Linked DNA regions of Schizosaccharomyces pombe. Each later gene encodes a partner of the first gene's protein in a complex. Each region holds a gene or a part of one and is shown on either strand. Other genes may lie near its edges. The genes, in order: cgi121 and kae1.

Region 1 (7,568 bases):
TCGTGTACGCACCAAAACTACGAAGAGAGCTTCTCGCGTAGTTATCGAGAAATACTACCCTCGTCTTACATTGGACTTCCAAACCAATAAGAGGATTGTCGATGAGGTTGCTATCATTGCTTCCAAGCGTCTCCGCAACAAGATTGCTGGATACACGACTCATCTTATGAAACGTATCCAACGCGGTCCTGTCCGTGGTATTTCCTTCAAGCTTCAAGAAGAAGAGCGTGAGCGCAAGGATCAATACGTTCCTGAAGTCTCTGAGCTCGAGAAGGACAAGATTAACGTTGATCAAGACACCAAGGATATGCTTAAAGCTCTTGGCTACGACTCTATCCCTACTGTCGTTGTCGCTGCCTCTCGCCCTGAGCGTCCCTTCCGTTACAGACACTAAATAACATTTTAAAAAAAATAAGATGTATGTTCTTTTGAACTGTCACGGTTATTTATTTTTGTGATGCATTTTGTACCATATTGTTGTATTTGTATTCATTTCGATTTGTAGACAGTAAAGTAGGTACGTAAAATCGCTCCTCTAGAAGCTCGGTAGTTAAATTTATTGTACATTTAGTTTAGACGATTTCAATTTTTTCATTTTTGTTTTTACAATCTTACAAATTTACTAAGACCGTTCGTTGTGAATATGATACCTACTGAAGATGAAAGTGCAATGGGCAGAAGTCGTTTAATAAAATAATTAAAATTGGCTGTTGTACAAACGCTCAATATGTTGACTTGACATATTAAGAGAAAAGGAAACTAAACGGTAGAATAATAAAACAATTCAAATTATGATAAACCCTGAGACGTAAATTCAATAAATACTTTTTCTAATAAATTCACTCGACGTCTATACCGGAAACATTTTGTAAGGATTCATAATGATAAAAGTCTTCCGTCTTCAAAGACCTCAAACCGCCTGATTGTATGTCATATTTGATTGCTTCCAAATCATTTCCATGCTTGTCAAAAAGCTCTCTGCGTGGAACTGATAAAGCAGATCTACAGACTTCCTTGATATATGAGCCAGACAGTCCAGCAGTGGCATTAACAACTCCATTCCAATCAAAGTTCGCTTCTAACGGTACCTTTTTTAAATAAAGTTCTAAAATCTTGCGACGCTGTTCGGCATTTGGAAGAGGTATGGAGAATACTTTAGGCATACGACGCCGAATGGCCTCGTCGATGTCAGCTGGTCGATTAGTAGCACCCAAAACAAGAACCCGTGACTGACCACTCAATAAACCATCCCACATCGACATAAATTCAGCTTTAATTTGAGCCATTGCTTCATGGTCTGTCCTTTGGCGTTGCCGCAAGAAAGTATCAATTTCATCGATAAATATTATAGTAGGCTCAAGCTTACGAGCTAGTGTGAATAATGCGTCCACAAGCTTGTTTGATTCACCGAACCATTTGTCTGTTAAAAGGCCCACACTCACATTTATAAATGTAGCTTGACTTTGCTTGGCTAATGCTTTAGCTAGCATTGTTTTACCACATCCAGGAGGCCCGTACAAGAGTAAACCCTTTGGACACGACAAAAGTCCGCCATGGGTGTCAAACACTTCAGGGTATTTTAAAGGAAAAAGTACATCTTGCAAAAGCTGATTAACATGTTCATCCATACCTCCAATATCATCAAAGGAAACATCGATTTCGCTGGGTAGAACGAGCTGTGATGCAACAATCTGCTCATACTCATTTAATTCCAGAGTCTCCAATTCCTTGACTTGTTCCCCAGCCCACTCATCAAGTCGCTTACGGCTTTTGGAAACTGTATCCTGCCTTTTTTGTCGATACGGATCTAAAGTAGACAAAAGTTTATGTGCTGCGTACCAAGAGCAACCAAATGCTAAGGCATAGACAACGATCTCTTTAATTGCCCTTTTAGTCGTCGGATTCATAATCAATTCCCCAGTAATAAACTTCAAAATGCAAGCACACAAAATTTTATGCAGTAAATTTGTCTGGTGGCACGCTACTACTATTGGGGCGGTTGGTATGTTCAGCTAAATGGGTAAAGAAGATATACAAAGTTGATCGTACTTTGCTACATTGTTTGGAAAATATATTCATTGAAAAAATTATTTTTAAATAAAAAATTTTCATTTTCCTAAAGAAACAATCCCAATGGTTTCAAAGCGCAGTTATCAATTATCAAAAGTGGTAATGTAACAATAAATATTTACTCTCTGTGCCAAAAGATTTGGTTATAGATGAAATAACAATTAGTAAACAATAATAATTAAGCAGAGATTTTTTCTGAGTAAATAACCCATTGAAAAATGAGAATAAAAATGGAGCGAGAAACCTTTTAGGAGATTTGGATATACTTATAAATATCCAAAAGGGAACCTAACGGAACTATATACAAAACAATAAAGGACATATCAAGACTAAATCGCTATGCCCGTCCAGTGAAGCTCACTGTTTAACATATCCTAAACGGAAAAACCATTCCTATCATTCGTAAATTCACGAAAATTTTTAAATTATATACAATTTTTTCCTCCTAGGATTTATTTGGCCTTGTATTGAGTCGAACTTGACGACGAAGGATTTTCACCTTCACTAGCAATGCCTTCTTCTGAATCAGATTCGGGATTACTAGGAGGATGCAATATAGACTGTAGGTGGTTCATTTGCTTTAAAGTTTCATCAAAAATATCTTTTCTCAAATTCCATGCTTTTACATAATTCGCGTTTTCTTCTTCTAACTCACGAATAGCATCTTGCAACTTTCCTATTGATCTGTAAACCCGGTCAGTCTAAAATATTCAATATAAATCTGGAAACTTACTCTTGTTGTTCTGTTCTTGATCTCAATCCTTTTGACATTATTGGCTTGGCCAACTCGTCGTATTGTTCACGCTTTCTTAATTCTTCTTGGGCAACTAGTAAATCTTGCTCAAGCTGGCTTATTTCGGTTTTTTCTGCTTCACAAAATGTTTCTGAAAATATTAATAAAAACATCACTGTACTTAAAGTTACGAATTTAATCACATACGAGTCTTCTTCAGTTCTCCTTCGTAAACATCCACTTCTTTAGCATTCATGTCTAATTGCATTTGCAATCGAAGCCAAAAAGCAGAGAGAGCAGAAAATTCAATTTCTAAATCCCTTAAGTTTGCTTCGTCTACATTTTGAGCAGCAAAACCAAGACACCGACTAATCAACCGTTTCAAAGGCCGTTCTTCCACAGTTAAGCGCGATCGAATCGCCGTCTCTGACATATCGGTTAACTTAATATTTTCAAAAAAAAAATTATTTATAGCATACCCTCCATAATGAATTGAGTAAAAAAAAAGCAAATTCACTATACAATTTAGTTGGGCGCTAAGTCAGTAGCTGGAGTGTTCGGAGTTTTAGTCACCGTATTTTACCGATGTTTACCGGCAAAAAGTTATTAGTACGATTATTACCTAAGAAATGTAAAAACGCTAACAAGGATTGCAGTTTGATATTGCTATAGAACAGGCGGGCAAAATGATTTTACCTCTTTTTCCAGAGACACAAGTTCATGTTTTTGTATATGAAAATGTTTCTAACTGTGCTGCGATTCATGAACAACTAATAAGCCAGAATCCCATTTATGACTATGCGTTTCTCGATGCCGCTACTATTCTATATAAAAAGCAGGTTTATAGCGCTATTATTAGGGCTCTCGAAGATAGAAGGGACGAACAAATGAAAACTAAGACGATTCACTCAGAGGTTATTTTGTCATTGTCCCCAAAAACCGAAATTTCTAGTGCGTTCCGACAATTCAGCATGACAAAAAAATCTAAAAACATTGTAGTGGTAAAAATTGATAGCAAACTTACAGAAGAAGAAGAATTTGAGCGCTTGGACAAACTTGTGGAAGGTAATAGGGTCGAATTTTCTGACGAAGAGTTACAAAAATTAATAGACTTCAAGGTGTTAAAAAAGAATTACAAATTGGATCCCTCTACGCTTGAGAATCCTTTGGCCTCTATATTATCTTCGATAGCTCTACGTGGTTATTCTTAAAAACATATGTTCTAGCAAATCTGATCTTTTGTCAATGTTTCACAATTGATTTGACTATTTTTCTATGCGGCTTGAATGATAATGATGAGAGTTCCAAATGGAACGTTGTGTGGATTCTTCTATTCCTTATAATTTTTTCCTCTCTCAAATGACTGTACAAACTATTTAGCAAGCACCTACATAATCAATTTTTGATTTACGAATTGGTAAAGGATGGCACGTAAAGTTATGCCCTCTGGTTTGGTTCAGTTTTATGATCTCTTGACAGTTTTACTAAAGTAACTAAGGGCATTTCATTACGATTATCTGTTTCGATACTTTTACCTAGGGAATGCTTTAGTGTTATTTGACATCATGTTTTGTTCTTGTGCAATATTTTTTGCTCAGGTCTATTGGCGATGAATTACTATATGGTGGATCTCAGTGCAAAAAGTTTACCATTATGTGAATAGTTATTAAAAGTTTAATGGGATTATAAATTAATGGGTTTTTTATTGCGCACCTTATGCTCCTGTTATAAAGAAAAGCAGGTCGCAAAGGTAAGAACTATTTTTATACAACAATAAAGGTTTTTACATCGTATGTTTTACAATTAACTGGCAGCTCTTTGTCAAAATTGTTTATTTACGGATTTAACTTGCCTTCTTGCGGTATTGACTGCTAAGCCGGAATTTGTGATATCAAGCCATCCGTTTCCCAGTCACGCGAAAACTCTTCCTTATGGAAATTTCATTTTAACAAGTACAAATCTGTTAAAACTACATTCATATAATCATATGCAGGCAGCCGATTAGAGAAAAACTAAATTTCTTAGGCAGAATTGTCATTATCCGTCAATACCGCGTTTTTTTTATTTTCCGCTTTGATTTTTTTTATCATTCTTTTTGGTTCTTTTATTTTTGTTTTTATTTGTTTTGTTTTCTTTTTTTCCTTTTCAAAAGTCATTTGAAGACAAAAACTCAACGTTGAAGAGAGCATTTGTTCATCTGTTGACTTTTCGCCAATACACCTGTTTTTTTATGGACTTGCTAAGTATAGTGTAAATTTAACGCTGTCGTTGATCCGTATGATTTCTTTTGATTAATTTAAATCGTTATATGTGACACTAGCAATTTTTGCTTCATGGCGGAAGAGACTGAAGAGGATTATTTAGTTGTGGGTCGTGATTACTTGTACCCCCCAGATCATGAACTGCACTATGGGTTTCATGCTCGTGTGATTGAAGAGGAGGAGGAGCGATTTGTAGATGATACCTTTGATGAAACAATCGAAGGATCGGATGACTCCGAATCAATAGATGATACGGAAGTATTTTACGATGCTGAAGAATCTGAAAGCACTCACCCTTCTGCTTCTTTCAACGTCCTTGCTGACGCCGTTGCGCTTTATGATTTCGAGCCCCTCCATGATAATGAACTCGGTTTTACTACTGGTCAGAGACTTTGTATTTTGTCGGAATCCAGCGATGGTTGGTTGATTGCATACGATGATGCCTCAGGAAGAAGCGGGCTTGTTCCTGAGACGTTTGTTAAATTAGAGGTATAAAAGAGCGTTGAATTGAACCCTTTTTACTTTTTCTTTTTGTCAAATTGATTTTAAAATGTTATTCCTTATTTTATGTTCCAAGATTTTCTGGATCCTCTCCTTTATATATAAGAATCCGAAGTGTTACGGGAAAAAAATTCGGATTGTCACGCTTCTTATGAATATTATTTAAATGTACGCCTTTAAAGCAACTATCATACAATTCTCCTTTGGGTAAATAACTAACCTTGGGATGTGTCGTAACTTGGGACTTATTTTTGATTTGTTATAAGGATGAAATGAATGTTCTATCTTATGGACCTTACAAGAAAAACTATAATATTGTCAAATATAATCATATGAGATGAGTTAAGCTACATAAAACTCTTTGAAACTTTATTTTATATTATTGCAACCTTCTAATAACTTTACATCTTCTTATCCAAAGAAGAAGGGTTAGAATGTACCGTGTTTTACGGAAGTTCCATTCCCGTAGGGTTACAATGTGTTGCTAGAATAAACCGTAAGTCATAGTACATATAGAGGCCAATTCTGTAAACTTTTTTAAAGTCTATGGAAAACCCTCTATGTGTCTCCAATAGAGAACGGACATCTCTTTCTGATTAGTATATACGTTTTCATAGTCTCTTCATCCTGAGGTAAATTGTACAAAACGCTGTAGTTAAACATGTGATCGAGTTAAATAGATATCTTCATAGTTCAATATACCATTAGATTTTTTTAAACAAAATCATAACGAGTACGAGGTCGTTTTGGAGAAATAATATCTGCAAATGCTGAACGTTTTCTTGGTGTGGAAGGATTGGAAGACGAGGATCTTTCATTTAATGCTTCCTTGAACCAAGTCTTGTCATTCAATAAAGACTTTTGATCACGAATAATGGACATTAACGATCCTGGACTAGTGTCGGTTTCTGACTCGAATAAGTGATGATTGATAAGAGGAAACCATACCATCTTGGCAATCGTCTCTGGTGGAGTAAGCCAAAGGGTCCAATTCCATTCTAAGAAAATATCTTTAGCTATTTTTGAGGTACAGAAAATTTTTAAAGATCCCTCGTCATTTGAGCCTCGTAGTTGAATTCTACTTTCAGAAGAAACATTCACCAGCACTTCAGCCAGTACATCGACTAACGTTTCAAACGTTTGAAATGGATCGATAGGACATCTTTCGCTCTGTTTAAAAGTTAATATAACTCTTGGTTGAGAGAAAGGTGTTAATTTGGTTGCATTTATAACTGCTTTTCCCCTGAAAGCATAGTAGCAATGTAGTTGTTAACTAATCTTACCTCTGCCTGATTGACGATTTGATTGCGGCTACATGTACAGGACCAAACACGCACTAGGTCTGTAATATGAATGACTTGTACAGCCTCATTACTTTCTGCGTCGAAGCTAGCCTGTATAAAATGAAACCTGTGGCCACGTAGCTGCACCCAAGACATCAAGTATAAACAAATGCAATGTCTTGTTCAGTATCTCAAATTGATTATAACAGCAATTCAATTGAAAATATTAAAGCTAAATCACTAAAATAGAAGAAATAAGCTCAGCAATGGTCACAGTTGAGAATTCGAGTTTGCAAAGTAGTATTGGTATTGATGAGAAAATTAAACAACCGATATATGCCAGAGTAAACAATAACTATGCCAAGTTATTCTTTAAACTTTAGAATGTGAAAATTAGATCAATTGGAATGCTTTTGTAAAATATTGTCTAGTGGTTTGAAAGTAGCCAGCGAAAGACAACACAAACAAGGACAGAAAGGAACTACCAAGTAATTTGAGAGCTATTTTTTTTTGAAGCTTAATTTGAAAACGAAAAAATTATTAAGTAGATAAGAATGACTCCGTTCGGTTTTTTCTTCTGCTCACAGAATTTCGTGGACTAGGGGACATTTCAGCGGTATGTTCAGAAGAAGTATTGTTTCTAATTTGAGAAGAGATATCCATTCTGGATAACTTCAAGGCCCTCTTGTTCCGAAGATTGACCTACAATCATCATCCGTG
Region 2 (9,022 bases), on another chromosome or scaffold:
CAATTTGCTGGCATAAAATCAAAGGCTGGGGATTCTTAAAAATTTTATCTTCTAAACTTTATAAACTTAAAGGTATAATATTCTGTTATTACGCACTAACTAACAACATTGAAGGATTACACCAAAAAGCTAATAGTCTAGAAACTTCAGTATTGTAAGAACCCCTTTTCGGATACACAGTTATGAAGGATGTGATGTCGACGGACTATATTTATATTTTGATAACCTATAATACCCAAAAATTAAAACCCTAAAAGTGACAACTTATTCAAGGAAACCACACAAAATTCTAATCTTCATCCATTTCCTCTTCGTTTTCAGAAGTTTCCCACTCAGCTTCTTCGTTTTCTTCGTCCATATTCGGTACACCAAGGCCATTCAAAATTTCGAGTAGTTCCTGAATATGACTCTTGATGCCCTCATCATCCCATCCTATTTTTTGATATACACCTAAGGCCGAAATGAAATAAAACTTTGCATTCATGAGAAGCTCTTTTATTTCTTCCTCAGACCCATTACCCTGTTCTTGTAGGTTTTGAGCTTCTACATAACAGTTCCAGCCCAATAAGTACCATATATCCAAAATTTGATCATCCTCTTTCTGAAGGTATACCAAAAGTTGATGAGCCTCTTCATGCATTTCAACTTCAATTAATAGCCTCACAATGGATGTTCGAACTGCATAGGTAGGGAGATCAACACTATCCTCCGTAGCCGCCCTAGAAATAGATTGCAAACATTTAGATAAAGCATCTTTGGCTTCCTCTATTTTTTGTTGACTAATACGCATAGATGCTAGTGTCTGTAAAGCTTCAGCGTTTGTGGCATCAATCTGTAATGCTAGTTTTGTATATAACTCACAATTTTCTTCAGCATCAGGTTGCATACATAAATCGGTCATAAAAAGCTCAGCAATGCTGCAATAAGCTCCCTGAATCTTTTTCTTAAGATCTGCGTCTTCTCCTTTGTCTATCAAAAGTCGTTCGAGGATAGTGACTCCTTTTTGATAAAGTTTTAAAGCTTTCGATCCATTATCATTAATTTGGGCAAGCCAAAGGTATTTTTCGTACCCTTGGTCATTTGTTAAATTTTTTGATCGCGAAACAGCCTCCTTAAAAGCAGACCTCGCTTTTTTAACGTCAGCTAACTCTGCATAAACTTCACCCAATAGCTCGAACGCCCTTCCATCTTCCTTGGGACTTTTATCCGCAGCTTTTTTGGCAAGAATTAATGCTTCGGATGTTTCGTCTTTTACTAACTTCTCACGAATTTCTAATAATTCGGCGTCGGTTACAGACATATTGATTGTTTCGTTTATTAATTGTGCTTCCAACCTTCTTTTATTTAACAAAGGGCTTTAAAAAAGTATATTTGGTTATTAAAAGTATTACAAAACATAAAGATTTGTTTAATAACCAAACAATGCAAAACTACAGTAAGTTGGCAAAGGTCTAGTGGTTTTGTTGCTAAGATGAAATTTTTCTTCCACTACAACATTCTCGTAAACTAGTCATTTATAAAATTTTAGTAAAGCTAGTATTTACTTACAATAGAAGGCCATATATGTTTTTTCAGATATTTTAAATCCCATATCCAATAAATGTTGTAACCCTTAAGATGTCTGTCTATTTACTGCATTTAGCTTCTACTCATGCACACTTTCATTTGCCTGAATTAGAAACATTAGCTAAGATTGAAAACGTTGAGTTTTGGTTAATTCCAAAATCAGAATATTTGAATGTTGCTTTCAAAAGCGATAAAAGTCGGAATCAGGCATTGTTTTCTCATGCAATTAAAGAGTTTCAAGACTCAATTTCTCCGAATGATGCTACAACCCAAAATCCATTTATGCTAGCCGTCGTTAATAGCAACGAAGATGCAAGGCGTTGGATTCGGAGATCAATTTTTTGTAAAGGGATATACGAAATATATTGTATTGGGGATTCTTTTACGCGGTTACATGAAAAGATGAAAGAGCTAAATCCCGCACCTTGGGACTCTTTTAAACATAATAGTTCATACAAATTTACATTTGAAACTTTTGGCACCCGAAGGACGATGAAGGAACAATTGTCAATTATAAGCGATTTTGAATACATGCAGTTACAAGGACCAGTATCTATGCACAACCCGCAACACGTATTCACGGTTTTAGAAAATCGTAGGAACAACGTAGAAGGGCCTAAAGTTTACTTTGGTCATTGGTGCGGCAGTGGTTCTCGTGATGCAATTGATACATTTGATTTGAAACAAAGAAGCTACATTGGAATTACTAGTTTTGACGCAGAGCTTTCTCTTGTAACGGCTCAAATGGCTATGGCAGCTCCTGGGAAACTTATATATGATCCATTTGTAGGAACTGGAAGTTTTTTATATACATGTAGTTTTTTTGGAGCTCATACACTTGGTAGGTTGCTCTCCAGTTATGCCAAACTAACATTGTTTTGCAGGTTCTGATATAGATGGTAGGCAGATGCGCGGAAAAAATGGAAGATCTATTAAATCCAATTTTCGGCAATACAAATTGTCCCCATTCTTTTTAGATACTTTCACTGGAGATGTCACTAATTGCCCACTGAGGAAAAATTTATTACTAGATGCGATTGTCTGCGACCGTAAGTCTTTCTTTTTTAACATTTCCATTAACATTTGATAGCTCCTTATGGCGTCCGTGCTGGTGCTAAAAAGATCGCCAAATGCTCTCAAAGACCACCCAAAGAGTCCAGTTCAACCGGTAATCACTATCCAAAGTTGGAGCAATATCAAATTAGTGATATGGTTTACGACATTATATGTTTTGCCTCAGATCGTCTTGTTGATGGTGGTCGATTGGTTTTGTGGCTTCCAACTATAACAGAAGAGTATGGTATCGATGATATTCCTTCACATCCGTATCTTTCTTTGATTTATAATAGCATACAGCCTTTCACTCACTGTAAGTTTTAACCAACCATACATTTTATTAACCTATTAGGGTCACGTCGATTGTTGACGTTTCAGAGACTCCCTAGAGCTCACGATTCAAAAAGTTTAAATTTACTCCCTAAAATAAATAATAAGACACCCTCGCACCACAATTTTCGAGAAAAGGTAAGCTAGTTCAGACGGCTCAACAAATTACTAATGTGAATATAACAGTACTTTAGCAGCGCAGGGCGTGCATCCGCAAGTACCAAATTTTCTCCTGTCTTAGAATAAATTAGCAATGGATTTGTTGAGGCAAGGAAATAAAAAGAGAATAAATTTGATGTCCTGTTATCCGTTTCCCTTTTCCTCTCCTCTGGTTTTTTAATTTTAGCAACTTTTTTGGTTTAAAGAATACGAGATTGTTAAATAAATTTGGGTTTTTAATTGTTACTTGTAATATACTACATTTATTTTTCGTATAGTCATGAAGCAGCAATTTTCCAAAGCACTATTGAAATAGCATGTCTAAAACTATATAAAAAAATTTTTGGTATTTCGTGTCCAATTTACCATTAGAAAAATATATATATATATTTATATTTATATGCTATGGCTTGTTTATGAAAGCAGATTAGTATTTAAGAATTATTTATTTCGCAATAGGGAGTAAAAAAATTTTAAACCGAAAAGCAACTCATATGGTATTAGAAAAAATAAAATAAAATCGAACAAAGTCGTACACAATTTATATTTTCATGCTTACGTAGAGTTTATAAATATTTGTAGATCAAAACTAAGAGGTAAAAATATCCGATTTTTCTAAGGTGTAAGCAAATGGATTAATAAATGGTGTAAGCGAATTTATCTAGTACACACACTTTTCTTGGACTACAATATATAGATTATAATATATCGAAAAATATTCAGTTTCTTATTTTTGGGTATTTTCTATCAGAAATAACTTTAGTTGGTTTGTTTGAGCTTGCTCGCAACTTTTTAACTTACTGATACATAAAAGAACGGCATATGTTGACCAGTGAGGAACCGTATATTTATTCACGTTAATAATTATGGGAAAACCTTTAATTGCACTTGGATTAGAGGGTTCAGCAAACAAATTAGGCGTTGGTATTATTTTGCATGATACCAATGGATCGGCTAAAATATTAGCAAATGTCAGACACACTTATATCACTCCTCCCGGACAGGGATTCTTGCCCAGCGATACTGCTAAGCATCATCGTGCGTGGATAATCCCTTTAATTAAGCAAGCGTTTGCTGAGGCAAAAATTTCTTTTAAAGATATTGATTGCATTTGTTTCACAAAGGGGCCAGGAATCGGTGCTCCTCTGAATAGTGTAGCTCTTTGTGCTAGGATGTTATCACTAATTCACAAGAAACCTTTAGTAGCAGTTAATCATTGTATTGGTCACATTGAAATGGGTCGTGAAATTACGGGTGCACAAAATCCTGTCGTGCTTTATGTTTCTGGGGGAAACACTCAAGTAATTGCATACTCAGAGAAGAAGTATAGGATTTTTGGTGAAACGCTTGATATTGCTATAGGCAATTGTTTGGATCGATTTGCCAGAATCATTGGTTTGTCCAATGCACCTTCACCTGGTTACAATATTATGCAAGAAGCAAAAAAGTAAGACTCACTTTGATGTTTTATACTAATTTTTTCCTAGAGGCAAAAGATTTATAGAGTTACCCTATACTGTTAAAGGTATGGATTGTTCATTTTCCGGATTGTTGTCAGGGGTTGAAGCGGCAGCTACAGAGCTATTAGACCCAAAAAATCCGAGTTCTGTTACAAAGCAAGATCTTTGTTACTCTTTACAGGAAACTGGCTTTGCAATGCTAGTTGAAATTACAGAACGCGCGATGGCACATATCAGAGCTGATTCTGTTTTAATTGTTGGAGGTGTTGGATGCAATGAACGTCTCCAACAAATGATGGCTGAAATGAGTTCGGATAGAGGCGCTGATGTTTTTTCTACAGATGAACGTTTCTGTATTGATAATGGTATAATGATAGCCCAAGCAGGGTTGTTGGCTTATAAAACCGGGGACCGATGTGCCGTCGCAGAATCGACGATTACTCAAAGATATCGTACTGACGATGTTTATATATCATGGAGGGATTAATACTTATATTCATGAACAAGGATCAGATGAATTTTATTTTAGGCATTTATATATACATTCTTCATTATGAAGATCGTATCCAGTAAAATATTGAGTTTTTTGAAGTAGATTATCAAAATTCCAGTTGAGGTAAAATAGCTTTTTCACATAAATTGTCACTATTAAAAAACCTTTGGTTCTTTCTAATAATAACTTTAGCATTATTTGTCGTTGCAACCTGAGAACAATCCTTAATTGGAGAGCTATTCTCGTCAAATTTCGTTGCTATATCATTCTCATTTAACGTGAAAATCCATTTGTTTTTTTCTAATAATTTCAATAAATGAGAAACTATATTTGAAGACGAAAGAGTAGATAACGAGCCAAACATAATACATTTCACTTTCGCCCTGCTTAAAGCAACGTTCAAACGATGCCAATCGCGTAGCAATTCTCCAACCTAAATAAATGGTTAGCAGTTGTGTAAATAATTGGTTCAATACTCACTAAGTTTTTACTGTTGGATCTCACAAAAGATATTAAAATGATGTCCTTGTCTCTTCCTTGATAACGATCGACAGTGTTAATTTCTATTTCAGTGAATGATTTAAGATTCTTAGAAAGCAACTCCACCTGACTTTTGTAAATTGAAATTATCCCGATAGAACTTTGCTTAACGCCTCGTTCCAAGAAGGAGGAAACTGCTTGTTCTATCAAAAAAGCTTCAGTATGATTTTCTAGAATATTATTAGTTTTTGATTCAACTCCCAGAATATCATCGGTATTAAAAAATATGACTGAATGACTAGGATTGATTAACTTGTTGACCCAATGTAGGCTAGACGACGAATCGGGTAAACCATCACTTAGATGAGCTTTTGGCAAAATTAATTTTTTTTGGGATATCGTCTTGGACCCACACACCAAATTGCCGCCATAAATAAGTTCACTAGATAATGAATTAATGTCTTCATTCATACGATATTGTAGTCTTAAAGTGGTAACGGCTTCAGGATGCTTTTCTGATAGTAATTTAAATAGACTGAGCGACAAACCATCCTTAGATGTTCTTGAATTTTTTACTAAAGGAGGAAGTTGATAATGATCACCAACTAAAACAAATTTTTCAGCAAGCTGCAAAGGGCCTAAGCAAATTGGTAGAGGTATTTGGGATGCCTCATCAATTATACAATAATCGAATTTTCTTTTATTGAAAATGGAACTAATGTTGTTAGTAGTTTGTTCATTGCCGTCGCTTTCAATTACTTACTGATATACCCCTAGAGAAGAGCATGCAACTATTTGGGGGTCTTCGTAAAAATGTTTTAATGACGCTAAGTCGTCAAACGTCGTTCCTTCAGTCAAACAAAATTCTTTTACTAGGGGATGGATTTTATGAGGAGATCCTAAGCGGACGATTGTGCTATCACAACCCTTCAGTTTAATTAAAATGTTATCAACTGCTAAATGCGTAAAAGAAGTAAGAAGTATTTTCTTCTTTTTGGCAAGCAATGATCTGATTAAGCTAGAAATTGTAGTGGTTTTCCCCGTTCCAGGCATTCCGAGTATCAAACTATAATGTTCTGCAGCGTGGCATTTCTTTAAAGCTGTAATTTGATCTTCGTTTAAACATTTCAAAAATTCAGGATCGATTAATGCACTATTACAAAATTTTGGAGGCTTCAAACGGATAATCATGTCCCTTATAATTAAGGGAGCATCTGGTAATACAGAAGACATCAAGGTACCTCTTATTGATGCAATTCCGCTCGAAAATTCGTCCTTATCAATTCTGTACCTCGTATGGTTACTTCCGATAAATGACAATTTGGAATCTTCATAGTTACCAAAAAATACCTGGTTTTTTTTGAAATCAAAGTTAGGCATCTTTAGCCATGGAATATGAAGTCGATGACGAGTTCGTACTTCAATACATGAATCTTGAATATGGACTATGTGTCCTTTAGCTAGTGACCAGTGTCCATGTTCATCAGAAATAAATACTCGTTCACCAACGCTGAAGCCTGAGTGCAAGAAATTTCGAGGATAACCATTGTCATTTAAAAAAGCGAATTTGTAATGAAAAACCCTGTCATCAATTTCTAAACAAACGATATCCTCTTTAGTAATGTATAAAGGATACAGAGTTTTTCCATAAGCTTCTAGCTCTTCTGTATCAAAAGTCAACACATCGCCTCTTTTTAGTAGTAAGAGTCGTTCCTCTTGATTTAATAACTTCTCCCACTTCTTATAAAATTCAAGATCCTCATCTTTTACTTCGCGCATCCATTCATTCCATGACTCAGTCAAGCCGTTACTATTAGCTACTCCTTTATCACTCATCTTTTGAAAGAACAAACATTCAGAAACTAAACTGCAGTGATCGCAAATTTTTCGGTTCGAAATCATTTCAGGAAGGCTGCGCCTAAAGTTATGCTGTGCAAGAGAATTTCTTGTCATGATCAACCCTCGAAGTTGGGAGTTACTTGCAACCAAATTCTTGATAGTACTATTTTCCAAATAGCATAATAATGCCTGATTAGTATTGATACCATAACGATCTGAAATGAGTAATGTATAAAGCAAACTTTGAGCAAAATGGCTAATATTGTCGACATATCGGCCAGTTTTAAGCTCTAACGGAAGTGTGAGGGTTGACGAAGACTCAGGTTTTTCAGTTAAAACCACCTCAACTGTAGCATCGATATTACCTTTTAATCCAAATCTGGGTGACCATATGGATTCCTCAATATCGAGAAGCCTTGAAATGTGAATACTTTCATTGTTGTTGTCATTTTTTTTACTTATTAAATATCTTTCAACAATAGATTTAAGAAGGGGAAGCCTCGCATCAAGTTCCTCTCGAATTTCATCGAGCGACAAATCAGCAAAATAGATATCAGAGATGTATGTTTTTATTGATGTTTCAAGGTTGATATCAACATTTTCAAGGGCATCAATACCTCTGTATAATGCGTGTTGAAAAAAATCATGTAAAATGTTTCCAGTTACCATAGCTTTTGTAGGAGGTCCATAAATGCCAACCCTGTCAGATATTACGGCTTTCCTCAAACAAGGAAAAGAGCTGGCCACTGCCGTAGCAGACATTAAAATTTTCGGATGTATGATAATAAGTCCTTTATCGTTGTCAACGATAGCGGTATTATCTTTGTCAAATGTAGCTTCAACACGGATAGAATCCCCTACAAAAATACTAGTCTCAGTCCAATCACCGCGTAAAAATAACTGATGCAGTATATCATTTGCTTCCAAAATCAACTTTAATTGTCGAAAGTGATTCCCTTCATGAAAAATGAAGTCTTCGTGAACTTCTAATACTGTGTATTCGGAGGAAAACTCGCACAATTCACCAGGAGTGCATCCATCACACGAATCATCCCAATCATCGATAAAGTCGCTATTGATATCCGGCAATGAATTACAAGCTTTATCAAGAGCAAGGTTCACAGGTTCTTCATTTATTGTAGCATCAGATGCTTTTGTTGCTGAACAATAAGATTGCAAATCACCTCCCACATGGTTGACCTTAGCTGTCTTTTCTATGTCCTTTGCAGAAGCAGTTACTGTAGAATTAGGTAATTGTGAGTATTGGCGTTCAAGGGAATCTAATGCTGCCAGATCTTCAGCTTCTAAGGCAAAATCATCCTCGTCAATTTCGGTATCTGATCCTTTGAGAAGACAACTGGAATTTGCAGCAATTCTTGATTGCTCAGATGATCTTGCATTACGAATTATAGACACCAAGCTAGGGACTTTATGCAGGTTATTTCCTTGGTTTTTTACTTCATCATACGATCCGAAGCTTCTACTCTGGTTTTCCGAAACATTTGAACTCGACAAATTATTGTTTATCAGTGGCTTATTATCTGAAGCACATCGTCGTAATAGGACAGTTTCATCCGTATATAATGTAAACACATCAGATTTTGAGTTCGTTGACACTGGTTTCATATCTATAATCGTT

Evidence for each region.
Region 2: cgi121 (region 1) and kae1 share a complex: the UniProt entries of both Schizosaccharomyces pombe proteins name them as parts of the EKC/KEOPS complex.

The regions. Positions count from the first base shown.
Region 1 is NC_003421.2:917,933-925,500, forward strand, and holds cgi121 (EKC/KEOPS complex subunit Cgi121), read left to right. Parts: upstream 1-3,445; 5' UTR 3,446-3,489; coding exon 3,490-4,014; downstream 4,015-7,568. Other genes in the region: rps1702 (40S ribosomal protein eS17), read left to right, coding at 1-394; yta4 (ATPase Msp1), read right to left, coding at 840-1,907; THO complex subunit Tho7, read right to left, coding at 2,523-2,754, 2,804-2,954, 3,011-3,229, 3,283-3,289; skb5 (Shk1 kinase-binding protein 5), read left to right, coding at 5,137-5,559; XRCC4-like factor xlf1, read right to left, coding at 6,280-6,735, 6,849-7,004. UniProt on the Schizosaccharomyces pombe protein: Component of the EKC/KEOPS complex that is required for the formation of a threonylcarbamoyl group on adenosine at position 37 (t(6)A37) in tRNAs that read codons beginning with adenine.
Region 2 is NC_003423.3:3,587,189-3,596,210, forward strand, and holds kae1 (EKC/KEOPS complex N(6)-L-threonylcarbamoyladenine synthase subunit), read left to right. Parts: upstream 1-3,774; 5' UTR 3,775-3,977; coding exon 3,978-4,558; exon of another isoform or gene 4,559-4,598; coding exon 4,599-5,058; 3' UTR 5,059-5,170; downstream 5,171-9,022. Other genes in the region: nat1 (NatA N-acetyltransferase complex subunit), read left to right, coding at 1-158; protein acl4, read right to left, coding at 290-1,300; tRNA (guanine-N2-)-methyltransferase catalytic subunit Trm11, read left to right, coding at 1,618-2,407, 2,451-2,615, 2,657-2,935, 2,975-3,090, 3,139-3,198; DNA replication endonuclease-helicase Dna2, read right to left, coding at 5,171-5,497, 5,545-6,259, 6,308-9,022. UniProt on the Schizosaccharomyces pombe protein: Component of the EKC/KEOPS complex that is required for the formation of a threonylcarbamoyl group on adenosine at position 37 (t(6)A37) in tRNAs that read codons beginning with adenine.